Oryzias latipes: one gene and its partner. The protein of the gene in region 2 interacts with the protein of the main gene of each other region in a pairwise test. Links are inferred from orthologs where the notes say so. Each region holds a gene or a part of one and is shown on either strand. Other genes may lie near its edges.

Region 1 (7,877 bases), on a different chromosome or scaffold from region 2:
TGTTAGCCGAGGACAACCTCCCACCTGTCTGACACTCCCCCACACACACCTGTTTTAACCGAGGACAACCTCCCACCTGTCTGAGACGCCCCCACACACACCTGTGTTAGCCGAGGAGGACCTCCCACCTGTCTGACACGCCCCCACACACACCTGTGTTAGCCGAGGAGGACCTCCCACCTGTCTGAGACGCCCCCACACACACCTGTGTTAGCCGAGGAGGACCTCCCACCTGTCTGACACGCCCCCACACACACCTGTGTTAGCCGAGGAGGACCTCCCACCTGTCTGACACACCCCCACACACACACCTGTGTTAGCCGAGGTGGACCTCCCACCTGTCTGACACACCCCCACACACACCTGTGTTAGCCGAGGAGGACCTCCCACCTGTCTGACACGCCCCCACACATACCTGTGTTAGCCGAGGAGGACCTCCCACCTGTCTGAGACGCCCCCACACACACCTGTGTTAGCCGAGGACGACCTCCCACCTGTCTGACACGCCCCCACACACACCTGTGTTAGCTGAGGAGGACCTCCCACCTGTCTGAGACGCCCCCAAACACACCTGTGTTAACCGAGGAGGACCTCCCACCTGTCTGAGACGCCCCCACACACACCTGTGTTAGCCGAGGTGGACCTCCCACCTGTCTGACACACCCCCACACACACACCTGTGTTAGCCGAGGTGGACCTCCCACCTGTCTGACACACCCCCACACACACCTGTGTTAGCCGAGGAGGACCTCCCACCTGTCTGAGACGCCCCCACACACACCTGTGTTAGCCGAGGAGGACCTCCCACCTGTCTGAGACGCCCCCACACAGACCTGTGTTAGCCGAGGAGGACCTCCCACCTGTCTGAGACGCCCCCACACACACCTGTGTTAGCCGAGGACAACCTCCCACCTGTCTGACACACCCCCACACACACCTGTGTTAGCCGAGGACAACCTCCCACCTGTCTGAGACGCCCCCACACACACCTGTGTTAGCCGAGGACGACCTCCCACCTGTCTGACACTCCCCCACACACACCTGTTTTAACCGAGGACAACCTCCCACCTGTCTGAGACGCCCCCACACACACCTGTGTTAGCCGAGGAGGACCTCCCACCTGTCTGACACGCCCCCACACACACCTGTGTTAGCCGAGGAGGACCTCCCACCTGTCTGACACGCCCCCACACACACCTGTGTTAGCCGAGGAGGACCTCCCACCTGTCTGAGACGCCCCCACACACACCTGTGTTAGCCGAGGAGGACCTCCCACCTGTCTGACACGCCCCCACACACACACCTGTGTTAGCCGAGGTGGACCTCCCACCTGTCTGACACACCCCCACACACACCTGTGTTAGCCGAGGAGGACCTCCCACCTGTCTGACACGCCCCCACACATACCTGTGTTAGCTGAGGAGTACCTCCCACTTGTCTGAGACGCCCCCACACACACCTGTGTTAGCCGAGGAGGACCTCCCACCTGTCTGACACGCCCCCACACACACCTGTATTAGCCGAGGAGGATCTCCCACCTGTCTGAGACGCCCCCACACACACCTGTGTTAGCCGAGGTGGACCTCCCACCTGTCTGACACACCCCCACACACACCTGTGTTAGCCGAGGTGGACCTCCCACCTGTCTGACACACCCCCACACACACCTGTGTTAGCCGAGGAGGACCTCCCACCTGTCTGAGACGCCCCCACACACACCTGTGTTAGCCGAGGACAACCTCCCACCTGTCTGACACGCCCCCACACACACCTGTGTTAGCTGAGGAGGACCTCCCACCTGTCTGAGACGCCCCCAAACACACCTGTGTTAGCCGAGGAGGACCTCCCACCTGTCTGAGACGCCCCCACACACACCTGTGTTAGCCGAGGTGGACCTCCCACCTGTCTGACACACCCCAACACACACACCTGTGTTAGCCGAGGTGGACCTCCCACCTGTCTGACACACCCCCACACACACCTGTGTTAGCCGAGGAGGACCTCCCACCTGTCTGAGACGCCCCCACACACACCTGTGTTAGCCGAGGAGGACCTCCCACCTGTCTGAGACGCCCCCACACACACCTGTGTTAGCCGAGGAGGACCTCCCACCTGTCTGAGACGCCCCCACACACACCTGTGTTAGCCGAGGACAACCTCCCACCTGTCTGACACACCCCCACACACACCTGTGTTAGCCGAGGACAACCTCCCACCTGTCTGAGACGCCCCCACACACACCTGTGTTAGCCGAGGACGACCTCCCACCTGTCTGACACTCCCCCACACACACCTGTTTTAACCGAGGACAACCTCCCACCTGTCTGAGACGCCCCCACACACACCTGTGTTAGCCGAGGAGGACCTCCCACCTGTCTGACACGCCCCCACACACACCTGTGTTAGCCGAGGAGGACCTCCCACCTGTCTGACACGCCCCCACACACACCTGTGTTAGCCGAGGAGGACCTCCCACCTGTCTGAGACGCCCCCACACACACCTGTGTTAGCCGAGGAGGACCTCCCACCTGTCTGACACGCCCCCACACACACCTGTGTTAGCCGAGGAGGACCTCCCACCTGTCTGACACGCCCCCACACACACACCTGTGTTAGCCGAGGTGGACCTCCCACCTGTCTGACACACCCCCACACACACCTGTGTTAGCCGAGGAGGACCTCCCACCTGTCTGACACGCCCCCACACATACCTGTGTTAGCTGAGGAGTACCTCCCACTTGTCTGAGACGCCCCCACACACACCTGTGTTAGCCGAGGAGGACCTCCCACCTGTCTGACACGCCCCCACACACACCTGTATTAGCCGAGGAGGATCTCCCACCTGTCTGAGACGCCCCCACACACACCTGTGTTAGCCGAGGTGGACCTCCCACCTGTCTGACACACCCCCACACACACCTGTGTTAGCCGAGGTGGACCTCCCACCTGTCTGACACACCCCCACACACACCTGTGTTAGCCGAGGAGGACCTCCCACCTGTCTGAGACGCCCCCACACACACCTGTGTTAGCCGAGGACAACCTCCCACCTGTCTGACACGCCCCCACACACACCTGTGTTAGCTGAGGAGGACCTCCCACCTGTCTGAGACGCCCCCAAACACACCTGTGTTAGCCGAGGAGGACCTCCCACCTGTCTGAGACGCCCCCACACACACCTGTGTTAGCCGAGGTGGACCTCCCACCTGTCTGACACACCCCAACACACACACCTGTGTTAGCCGAGGTGGACCTCCCACCTGTCTGACACACCCCCACACACACCTGTGTTAGCCGAGGAGGACCTCCCACCTGTCTGAGACGCCCCCACACACACCTGTGTTAGCCGAGGAGGACCTCCCACCTGTCTGAGACGCCCCCACACACACTTGTGTTAGCCGAGGAGGACCTCCCACCTGTCTGAGACGCCCCCACACACACCTGTGTTAGCCGAGGACAACCTCCCACCTGTCTGACACACCCCCACACACACCTGTGTTAGCCGAGGAGGACCTCCCACCTGTCTGAGACGCCCCCACACACACCTGTGTTAGCCGAGGACAACCTCCCACCTGTCTGACACGCCCCCACACACAACTGTGTTAGACGAGCCCAACCTCCCACCTGTCTGACACTCCCCCACACACACCTGTTTTAACCGAGGACAACCTCCCACCTGTCTGAGACGCCCCCACACACACCTGTGTTAGCCGAGGAGGACCTCCCACCTGTCTGACACGCCCCCACACACACCTGTGTTAGCCGAGGAGGACCTCCCACCTGTCTGAGACGCCCCCACACACACCTGTGTTAGCCGAGGAGGACCTCCCACCTGTCTGACACGCCCCCACACACACCTGTGTTAGCCGAGGAGGACCTCCCACCTGTCTGACACACCCCCACACACACACCTGTGTTAGCCGAGGTGGACCTCCCACCTGTCTGACACACCCCCACACACACCTGTGTTAGCCGAGGACGGGGGTGCTGACTCTGATGATGGTCATGTCTGTCATGGGGGATGTACCACTGTCGCGGGGTTTCTCTCACCTTTGGGTAATCCAGAGTGAAGAAGGTCTCCAGGTTGGAGATCAGGTTCGGGTCGACCCCCTTCAGAGGCTTCAGCAGAGAAACTCCTGCCAGCTGAGCAAACGGCTGTTTGACCTCTGACCTCTTCTTGTGAAGGTGTAGGCGTCTGAAACAGAGGCCAGGAACCCGGATCAGAACAGGTCACTGTCTATGTGAAAACCCGGTTCTTCGGACAAGGCTCTGCTGCCTCCACCCCCGCGCAGAAAGAGCAGCCGGGACCGGTAGTTCCGCCCGCGTGCGCGCGCAGTCAGACAGACGGAACCAACAGCTTCCCTGAATATCAATGAACAGAAACGTCTCTGGAGCGGAAGGCCGCCGCGGCCGCTGCGTTAGCCGGGAAGCCGCTGCTAGCTTAAGCCGCACTAACGTACGCGCGAACAGTCAGCTTTACGTCAGTTAGCCCCTTCCCGTTGAGCTAACGTGCACCGGTTAGCGGTAACCCACCGACCGGGCACTCAGCCAGAGAGGCGCGGGCATCAGCGGCTCGGCCCCCCGCGGGCGAACAGCTTCAAGCGGCGGCGCGCGCGCACTCACACGTAAATGATGGACATCAGGTGCATGAGCCAGAGCACGAGGAAGAGCACGAGGCCGAACACGGCGAGGCCCTGCATGGCCAGCTCCAGCGGGGCCATGGCGCAGCGGACGGCCGCCACAGCTCGTTCGGGCTCCGTGTGTGGTCGGGCAGGACACCGGGGGGTTCTGTAGAGTCCGTCACGAAAGAGCCAGAAATCCGGCGGGGCCGGTACCGGAAGTAGGTTGGACCTCGAGCTCCGGCAGCGGGAACTCTGGGGGCCACAGACGGCCTGGGGGAGCGCGGTTTAGCGGCGATGAGGTCGGGCGTTTGACAGTCAGCAGACCGGCCCACGATCAGCTGACCAACCGGGAAAGACGGTGATCAAACAGGAAGTCATCACTGGCTGGCACTTCCGGACTCTTTCAAAATAAAAGCCCCTCCCAACAGCCTAAGATAAATGAAACCAGGCGGCCTTAGTGCCTCTAAACGTTAGTACAAAGGTGTTTAGGATGAGCTTTAGTGCAAAGAACCCCAGGAATCTAACTGCTTCCTTCACTGCTACATGTTTTCTTCGTGCTTTTATTGAGTAACTGTAAGTCTACATGGATTCAGCCTCCTTGTCTTCATTCTGCTCCTTCAGAACCCAGATAATCCTGATGTGCTTCCACCTCAAACTGCTCATCTGCTCTGAAAGTTCTTCTCTGTGACTTCCTCCATTAAGCTGAAAATCCCCAAATTTTCAAACATGATTAAATTGAATAAAGTTTGGCCTCGAAAAACAAATCAAAAACAAAGCTGAAAATACCCTTTATTTACTGTGGATCCAGTTCTGATCATTTGGATGAGCCGATTGTCGCTCAGAACAGGGAAGTTCCCGCTGCTGAAGGTGCAGCTGTGTTGAGTCACGTGACAACGGTGGAAACTGGTTGCTTTGCTCAGGTGCGTCAGACTTCGTGGTAAACAGCCACACCTGTCAGTGTGTGTCATAACACCTGCTGGGGTTGAGCAACCGAAACTGAACTGGATCAGGAACCAGAGACCGCGGTCGTCATGGACAATCTGAGTTCCTTCAGGAAGCAGGACGTCCTGCAGACTGAGAACACGGTGACGCTTCAACAATTACAACAGATTATTTCAGGAAGAAAAACAAATGATTAAATGAAGTCAGTTGCTCTGCGGGTAGCAGCTAACTGGCGCCCCCTTCAGTTGGATCACAAGCTTCAGTTTTCTTTGTCACATCCATCCGTCAGCAGCTGGGCGGTGCTGGACCACGGACACTCCAGGTTCTCCTTCCAGCTCTCCTCCTGGGTGTTGTAGACCTCCTGTGGAGCACAGGTAGGGGGTGAGGGCTCGGCCGTCCCACCGGCTCGGCCGTCCCACCGCCGCCGGCTCCTACCTTCTTCCATATGGGCATCCGGGCCTTCAGCTGGCTGATGCAGTGCTGGATGGCCTGCTGGCCGTCGTGGCGGTGCGGAGATGAAACTGCCATGGCGACGCTGGCCTCGCCCACCTTCACCCACCTAAAGAGGAACCTGTCAGGTAAGTCTGGCGTTTGCCGGTCAGAGGAGTGGCGGAGCGCTCACCCCAGCCGGTGGTGGACGCAGATGTGCTTCACGCTGGGCCAGCACCCCCGCAGCTCAGCACAGAGCTTGGTGAACTCTGATTGGACCATGGACTCGTACGCCTCGTAGTGCAGTCCCACCACCCTCCTGCCCTCCACCTCGTCCTCCCGGGTCGTTCCTGCACAGATGATGTGAAACTCCTGAGTTCTGAGGAACCGAACCGGACCCACCAACACGCTGTAACGGCCCGCACCGCTGTTCCTCACTTTAGCACTCAAAATAGAAGTGGAACACAAACACTCCCGTCCCCCCCGTCCAGGGAGTCGCTACCCAACACGGCTAAAAGTCCCGTCCATCCGTACCGACGAAGACGGAAACGGCTCCACAGGAGGAGCTGCTCACAGCATCCACCACCTCCTGCACGGACAGAGGATCCCGGCTCAGCCTGACCGCGTCCTCCTGCTGGGACATTCCTGCAACCGACCCGGTAGAACGTCTGAGAACCCGTCTCCTCTGCTGGGATGGAGAGCAGCGACTGACTGAAGCACATACCTGCCTACCCGCCGCTGAGCGGAGGAACCACGGCCACCTCGTCTCCGTCCCTCAGAACCACCAGCTGCTCCGCAATGGGAATGTACTGTTGAGCCACCGCCAAGACCACGTGACCACGCAGCACTGCTAGCCTACACACACGCACACACACACACACACACACACACACACGCACACACATGCAGCGGTCAGAATCCGATCAGCCGCCGTCAGGTTCTGCTGCTTCCTGGGTTTCGTACCGGGGATGTCTCTGCTGCAGCAGCTCCCACAGTTCCCTGCTGCTGATGGGCGTTGGAACAGAAACAAGCTCCTCCCCCTTCAGCCCAGTCAGCTCGGCACTCTGACCAAAGTAGATGACGCTCACCTGCACACAAACACCTGTATGAGCTCAGTGCCACACGTGAGGCTGCGTGGACTGCAGCGTGGAACGTGACGGGAAAACATTCGGGTCTAGAAACACGCGTGGTGATGTTTTACGGGAACGCTTCCTGCTTTTCATCCGCCTCATCCTCACTGATGTCATCATCTGTTTGCCTATTGGCTGTGTTCATCTTGCTGCTGGCATGCACCTTTTTCACACCCCGTCCTTCTGCTCACCTGGAAGGAGGGGCCAATGTTCCTGATTGGTACCTGCTGGCCGAGGAGCAGGAGGGTCAGAGTTGGAGCGGTGCTGGGTGGCTCGTCTCTCTTGGTCCTCAGCCTCCTGCTGGTTCTGGATTTTAGTTTGGGTTTGGACCTTGGTCGTCTTTTTGCGGGTTTTCTTTCCAATAGTGACCTTGTCAGGATCCTGACTTCTGCCTGTGTTTCCTTTCTGAACTCGCTTTACAGTAAACCCTTGTTTTTCGCGGGGGTTACGTTCCAAAAAGAACCCGTGAAAGGCAAAATCCGTGAAGTAGAAACCTTTATTTTTTTAACAATTATTATACTATTAAACAGTCTATTATACATTGAAAAGAAAGAACAAACCGTTTTACAGGCTCAGGCATTTGTTTCACAAATAAAAGTACTTTAGAAAAGGTTTTTCAACAAATATCTTCTGTACTGTACTGTCAAATAATAACTAATCAGGCTTCAAATCGCGGAGATTAGCCCCGCCCACCGCGACCCGAGAGTAATTGGATTAAACGGGAGAAAATTTAAAATGATTTAAAAAAAAATAC
Region 2 (7,869 bases):
TCATGCTGTCTTTGGAATTTGATGGATATGTAGTTTAAATAAATCTGGTGCATAACTGAACTTTGAATGAAAAAAAAATTACAGTTCTCAGTCCCTTAGTAAATTCTTTTTACACTATAATTAAAAATGTGGTTTGACCAAGACCCTGGCAATTCCTAAGAATTAGAAGGGCTGTTTTATTACACGTTCCAATAAGGCAAATGAGCTGGGTGATGAATAAAGGCTAGTTGAGGGGGGTCTCAGGTTGTGACCAATAACAGCAAGAGCTATAAAATGTCTAATATGGTCAAAAAGACCTTGAAGCACCATAGCTATGATTTATAAACGAGGCTGTCTGCTCCAACAGATTAAACAAATGTATAAGTAACGCATTGCTAAATTATGTAAAAAATAATCTAGTCTTTTGATGCTTTTCTCCTACTTTAGCGGAGCATATCATTGAAATTGTAATGTCAAAAATGTAATTCAAGCTGCTCATTCTTTCAGAAAGGTCATTTTTTTAGCATGGTTGTTCTAACAAGAATCTAAAAAATGTCTGTTAGGTAATGAAAAGGATTTTAATAAGATTTAGAAAACACATGTAAGGGAGTTTTTTAATGAAAATAATTTGAAAAACATACTTTGTTACTCATTTTTTACCCCCTTTTTACCTTGAAGGAGCTGATCTGGTTCCCAGACAGGTTAAGAATTTCTAGGCTGACGTTTGGATCAAGGCTGTTCCCTAAAAAAGAAAGCTGACGTTTAGTTTTTTTTTCTTTTCTTATTCAACAGCTTTGTAAATTTCCACCAAATGTGAGAAAGAAAAGAAAAGGGCAAATCTGCAGATATACCAATCTTTTCAATTAAGTTGTCGGCGAGGTTTAGTTCCTTAAGGTTCTGAAGCATGTCCAAACCCTGCAGAAGAAAACAGAAACAGAGTAGAAAACGGCTTTGCATGTTTCAGAAAAAAATTCAAACAAAATATGTTATTGCATCATCAATCTAACAAAAACATATAATTCTATGAGACTGACATGAAAAAATGTAATGCCAGTTTCATACCTGGATTTTAGTGATGCAGTTATTGTTGAGCCACAGAACTTCCAGGTTAACCTGCAAATCTAAGTTTTGTATTTCACATATCTGATTATTATAAAGGTACAGCTTCTCTAGTTTTTGACAGTTTTGTAGTCCAGATATTTCCTGTTGATAAGACAATGAGAAAACAATTATATGTTAAAAACAAAAAGGTTAAACTCTTCGTCTCTGGGTTTGAAACGTTATTATTTGTTTTAATCCTTATTGCTGCAGTGTTTAATCTCACATACATACTTGAACATAAACTATATTATAATCTCATAAATTAAAAGTTGTTATGTCTGACATTTTTACACAAACATATACAGTACAGACCAAAAGTTTGGACACACCTTCTCAAGGTGCAAAACCAAACTTTTGGTCTGTACTGTATGAAAACTCACTCTAAGACGACACTGGACTATCCAGATCTGCTGTAGCAGAGGGCAGTTCTCCAGTCCTTCAATGTGTTCTATGGTCTGGTCCACGATGGTAAGGTGGCAAAGTCTTGGAAAGAAGAAGAGCCCGACCATTCGGGGGAAACCAGAGAAAAAGATCTCCAGAGACGTGACGTTACTCCCCTCCTGTGCTATTTTTTCATAGGAAACGCCATTGACCAGACACTGTTGTGAGCAAAAAGATGAACAATGATTCATGATCTTGATATTTATGCATCATAAATAAATAAATAAATTTAAAAAGGGGGGTTGAAATACAGTCAAATAAAAGCAAACCTAAAACCTTTTTGCTTCCACATTCAGTTTTTTGGGAGTCTTTTTTTTTTCTCCGTTTTTCTGACAATGTGTATTTAGACTGCAGCATTTATTCATATATATTAAAGAAATTCATAAAAATGCAAAAGCAGAAATGATATATTTTAAACATGTTCATAATGAATTTTCTAAAAAAAAACGTAATTTATTTTTGAATAAAAAAAACACTATTCACTCATTTCCTATTTCATGTAACAATCACAGAAGCCAGCAGTAATATTCTATATAGGCAGAAAATTAGGGGCAATTCATATTGATATAATAGTCTAGCAATGAGCATTTTTGCACTTGCATGGAGAGTAAATATTTAAAGTTATCTATTTGTTACAATGAATTTACAAAGAACATTACAAGATAATGATATAAAATAGATTTAAATGCATTAAAAGATCGTAAAGTAAACACAAATTAAAGTAAAGCAAAGTAAACACAATAAAAAAACACATATTTAATTAACCCTACAAACCCATAGGCAATTTTCTTTCTTTTTTTTACAATGTCTTAAATTTTTTTTTGTTTTCATCAAATATTTTTTCATCTTTACATTTTATTTTTTGGCCGCTGTTAATCGCTGCTACCCAAAATGAGTAAACAAAAAGTCAAATTAACTTTAAAACTACAAGTAATAATTTTTGGTAGTTCTCCATGGTTAATTGGCTACAAACAAACAAACAAACAAACAAACAAACAAATAAATAAATGCTGAGAGAGAGAGAGCCTCCAGAATAATTCCAGAGGGAGAGTGGAATTTCCTTTACATTTACTGTACATTGTTTTCTTTTTACTTGCAATTTATGTTGCAAACATTTCTTGACTACAAAATCAAAAACTTCTGCATGGTATCACATGTTTTTCTTAGTGTTAACTTACTAGTTTTTTGACCACCTCTTCATCCCTGCAGTTCGTCTTTTTGTCACTTTTCAACATAGCTGTGCAAAAAAATAAACAAAAACAACAAATTAAGCATTACTGGTCGGTTCTGCTGAAAACAATACAAAACTAACACGTGCCCGTCAATTTAAATGTTAAAAACCAATTTTGAGTAAACGTTTATATTTGCCCCTCCCCCCAAACATGCACACCAAACAAACAGAAACCGACCAAGTTTAAGGACTGAGCATCAGTTCTACAGACTCTCTGCACTGCACATATTATATATTAAAACGTAAAATGCATTTTTGTTATCGTTTATTAATGTATGATTGAAACACAATTGGTTACCAATATCGATGGGAAGAACGCGTATCCAGGCACGAGTGTTTGGTTGCCATGGAGGAACTCCGAAACTTTTCAAGCTTTGTTTGTACGCTGAGCTACCACACGAGGGCGCCATACTGCAAGATTTGTCTGGACTGTTTTCATGGAGACACAAGACATTTGGATCTCCAGAATATTCTTTAGTACAAAAGGCAGAAAATAAATAAAGTTTTTCATTTTTTTAAGTGCTATTCAGACTGAAAAAATAGTAATATTATATGTGATTTATTCCCTAAATTCTGCTTCTGTAATTGCCTTAAACATATTTTGTTAAACATAGTTTGATATTATATAAATTGATCGTTTTATTTGGTTTTCCTTATTTTAATGAAAACTAGGGTGTGTATTTGTCCTAAAGTTGCGTTGCTGTCTAGCGGACAGGATGACGTCAGCGGTGGCTCGGTGAACTACAACATCAACCTCTCTCCTCTGGTGCTGGTTCCAAACCGCCCGCTCCGCCTCATCCCTGCCGTCCTCACAGCCCCGGCACAGCTGAGCAGAAGCCAGGCGGGAGCGTCCCCGTGTTTTCCCGGATCACCCGTTCGAGCTCGAGCGTCGCCGCCGGCTCTGCAGTACGGTCAGACGGGGGGAGGAGGAGAGGAAGCCTCAGCAGCCGCTGACTGTTCCCAGTCTGTCCGACAACAGCAACAAAGCATGTCCGCTCAGCCCGGCGAGGAGCTCCGCGAGGAGGAGAGGTGGTTCGGGGATGATTACGAGAGGAACGGCTTGTTTGGGAACACATCCACCCGCTTCGACGAGCTGCGTCACGATTTGAAGCCGAGAGGTGGTGACGCTGTGGGCGACCTGGATCAACAATTTCATCCTTTCCAGGACGACGGGAAAAGGCCTCCCGTTGCTATGGAAACTGCCTCTACAGGTAAAACTTTAACGTAAATGAGACAAATCTTACTTTTCTGCCAAACCTAATAATACTCATGGGCAAAAGCAAACACAAGGAGTGATTTTATGTCTTAAAATGGGGGCGACTGATGCTGAGGCGCAGTTTATTATAGATTACGACAGACGGCCTGCTTGTCTGCTGTTATGAGGAGTTAAAACTTCTGGAATTGAAAACAAAGATGCTATTTTTTTTTGCAACTTTCAGGTTCTGATTTGATCTACATGTGTGTTCACATGCTGATAAATCTGAAAGGACTATATGTGATTTATGATGTTAAGGCCAGTTTTCTGTTATAAATACAATAAAAGAAGCACCTGTCTGGGTAGGTCTCAATTAGTTGATGATTGTTGGATAATAGTCAAAATGTTGTTGGCCAATGAGATCTAACTCACCAATTTGACCAAAAATGCTACTTAAAATAAGGTCAGAAGGACTAAATAAAAACAGCCTTAATTCAAAAGGTCTAAGAAACTCTAATGGCTTCAAATTTGTGCTTAAAGTCCTTCCCCTTTGAAGAACAGCTTGGCTCATGCTGCTATTTTTACTCCTAAGGTCGCTTGCCTCACTATTCGTGTGTTGGGCAGAAGTGAGCCACTTTTATTCACAAGTTCACTGAAAAATTCATAAGGTTATGCTTAAAAAAAAATCATGCGGCCAAGTTTCCTCTCTTAACTGCTCAAGCGCTCTCTCATTTGGCATGCTGCTTGAATCAAATCAATAAAAAAAACACGCTTTTTATGCAGATTCTTTTTCAGGAAGTGGACTATTCCTATCAGGGAATGAAACCTCAACAGTCAGGTGTAAACAGATTAGTTAATAAAAGCTTTTGTTAAGATTAAATTATAGGATAGGAATATCCTTTAATATTTAACCTTTGTCTTTTCCACTTTTCTTGCTTGAAAATGTAAACAAAGCATTTGCTCCACTTTCATAACAGTCTGCCAGACAAGGTGTGTAGGTGCTCACAGACGGGGGACACACTCTTTGTTTTGGCTCCTGAAAGAGAACAGTGTTGCTGCAATACTGTTGCTAAGCCGTGTCCGCACAGTTGAATTAATCTCTCCTGTCACGTTTGTTCCCGCTGGAAACGCCGCAAATCCCATCTATGAGGACAGAGGGGACGTTTCTCACTTAATCAGAAATAATGTGATGCTGTTTGCTTTGATTTTCCTCAGAAAGACACAGATTGGCTCCAACACTGCACTGAAGTTCCAAAATCCTGCGTAAAGCTAATGAAATGCTGAGCTGTGTCCCTTTGAGATGTTTGGAGTTTACTGTTGTTTACAACGGTGATAAACAAACTCAGGACCTACAGGATGCTGACTCCAGAGGTATTAAATTACCACTGGACAGAACTTTATCCTGTTTCTTAGGCTGAACAACCTTTTTAATATTCACGATTTACCCTCACGTGTATGTTTACCGGAGCCATGATGAAGACAGTAGATCATGGTGTACCGGGATCAGGTCTGCTCGGCCTTGAAAGCATCAACTGTTTTGTATGTAAATTGCATGTAATTTTGCTGCTCATAGAGGAGAGGATTTCACACAGAAACATCTTCCTTTTAGTTTCTATTTTACATCTGGAGAAGCCATCTCTTACAATCCAGTAGCTAAAAGGTGGATTAAGCTCAAGTCTTTCGCTTTATCAGCTTGTCATCAGTGACGAGGGAGAGACAGCACGCTGGATTTGATCCCAGTGCAGTGCATTTCTGCCTTTAGCTGGTGAGGAGTTTTGCCTCTGTTCCCGGAGGGACAGAGGAGTGCAGGGTCTTTTCATAGATGATAAAAATGCTGGATAATTCAGGGGCAGAAGAGGAGGAGAGAGCAGCCTAATGGCTAAAGAGGCGAAGCTGCTGCCAGATGATGGTTCAAAGGTCCAGACTGTCAGGAAAACCTAAAAAAACATCAAACTTCAGTATTTATTTAAAGTTGTTGAGTGGAGGTGCTTTTATATCCATAGATGCATTTATTTCTGACCCCAGTAGAACAAGGACATAGTTAAACTGATTCTAGACAGGAGTATGAGAGGTTCTCCCTCCTGTTTATGTCTATGGCTTTGGGACAGACTGGAAGCCTGTCCAAGGATAAAGCCTACACCCTGTGACAGATGGGATGGGCTCCAGACCCCGCAACACCCATCAAAACTGGATGAAGCAGCTACGGAGAAGCGATAGAATCCCATGTGTTTACCCAGGAAGCAATAAAAAACCATTATGTGAAACATGATGCAGTGTTTGGAACTGCCCCTCTGCTCTGACTTATCATATTCCCCATGAAGAGCAGAGCTAAAACCCATCACTACTTTTAAGTGTGGACTTTTTGTACATTTTTCTCTGCAATCAGTCATTTTTTAAAGTCTCACATCTAAATAATGGTAATTACTATTTAAAAAACAAAGATTGACTGACATATTTAAAATTCTCCTCTGTTTATGTTAAAAAAAACCACAAAGGCAAGAAAAATATATTCAATACAGGAGAGAATTAGCAGAATATGTTCGGTAGCGTATTTTTCCCAATTTAATTCCCCCAGTTAAGAGGGCTGGATGCAATAGTGTGTCATGGAATAGTAATTGTACGTTCCAGTTGTCTTGGATCAATGCAGCAGAGCACCTGGATCTCTCAGCAATTCTATCGACCTGCACTTGTCTTTTTCTACTTCAGTGAAAGCAGCCTTGCCCACTATCTCCCCCATTTCCCTGTTTTCCTTTAAGTTCAACACAGGAATCTATGGATTAACAGAATCAATGTCATAAACAAGTTTTTAAATGTTGTGACATACGACAGATATTAATTAAGCTGAGCTGAAATGATAGAGAAAATACTGATCAATGTAAAAAAAAATCAATAGTTTTAGAGAGTCACACGAGTACCTAAAAATAAACTCTTTACAAATTATATAAAATGTATTTAAAGTGATAGTTTTCTATATAATTTTATTTTTCAACTAAAGAAACAGATCCTTGAGGTCAGATGCTGCAAAAAGAGACCCAAACTATTTAACAATGTCATGTTAAATTAGGACTTCTAACATTGGGGGAAAAACATATTATTTACCACCACAAACCCACTTAGCTTTAAAAGGGGAGCGCAGTGAGCATCTTGATATATTGGTTTCCACGAGGTCAGGCTTTGAAAGATAACACCTGAAAGATAAAACCGCAGCTGATAGGAACCTAGATGGAGTAATGGAGTTGTTTCCGAGCTGTTGAGTCACAGACTCTTCAAGGAAATGCTGGACTATGACTGATTGTTATTAGCCGTAAACAGTCTTCAGACTTCAAACTGAGCTCATTAGAAGGGAAAATACATGTTTTTAGAGAACTGTGTCACTGAAAAAGACTTAAAGATCAACTCAGATGAAAATTAATGGTGTTTTTAACATGTTCTTCTGGCATTTCTCACATGATGGAGGACCTATTTGTAAAAAATTAGGCTTCAAGAAAATGCTATTTGAAAAATTGCTTATTTGTTTCCTAGAAAATACACTAGGTAGGCCGTAAACTTCCTGCTCCACTCCATTCTGATGCATCCACTTGCAGACAAATAGATCCATCTACGTCTTTGTATTCCTTGTCTGAGCTGACATCTAGCTCAAAACAGTACGACTGGATATCTCTAAGATGGCTCATCATTTTTTATTGCACCAGTTTTGTTAGGTTGGGGTGGGAGAACATATAAACAGAAAGCTCTCACAACTCAGAATTTCTAATGATCTACTACTGCTCTGCAGAAACTATGTCTTAGAAAACAACACAAGTTTTTTTTTTAATTTAGGCTAAAAAAAACGACATTATCATAATTAAAAGACCACTTGGAATGCTTTTAATCAAAAGATGATCAGAGTGGGACTTTAAAAAATATGTAGTTTTTCTTCTCT

Evidence for each region.
Region 1: the proteins of rtn1 (region 2) and ugcg interact in a two-hybrid assay, tested with the Homo sapiens proteins (2 studies listed by BioGRID and IntAct). The link is inferred for Oryzias latipes from reciprocal best matches to the Homo sapiens genes RTN1 and UGCG.

The regions. Positions count from the first base shown.
Region 1 is NC_019870.2:273,154-281,030, forward strand, and holds the start of ugcg (ceramide glucosyltransferase), read right to left. Parts: upstream 5,230-7,877; 5' UTR 4,722-5,229; coding exon 4,624-4,721; intron 4,196-4,623; coding exon 4,051-4,195; intron 1-4,050. Other genes in the region: mocs2 (molybdopterin synthase catalytic subunit), read right to left, coding at 5,824-5,925, 6,000-6,123, 6,187-6,343, 6,528-6,636. UniProt on the Homo sapiens protein: Participates in the initial step of the glucosylceramide-based glycosphingolipid/GSL synthetic pathway at the cytosolic surface of the Golgi.
Region 2 is NC_019880.2:12,164,467-12,172,335, forward strand, and holds the start of rtn1 (reticulon-1), read left to right. Parts: upstream 1-3,398; 5' UTR 3,399-3,413; coding exon 3,414-3,963; intron 3,964-7,869. Other genes in the region: leucine-rich repeat-containing protein 9, read right to left, coding at 651-721, 831-894, 1,042-1,182, 1,461-1,679, 2,700-2,758, 3,051-3,162. UniProt on the Homo sapiens protein: Inhibits amyloid precursor protein processing, probably by blocking BACE1 activity.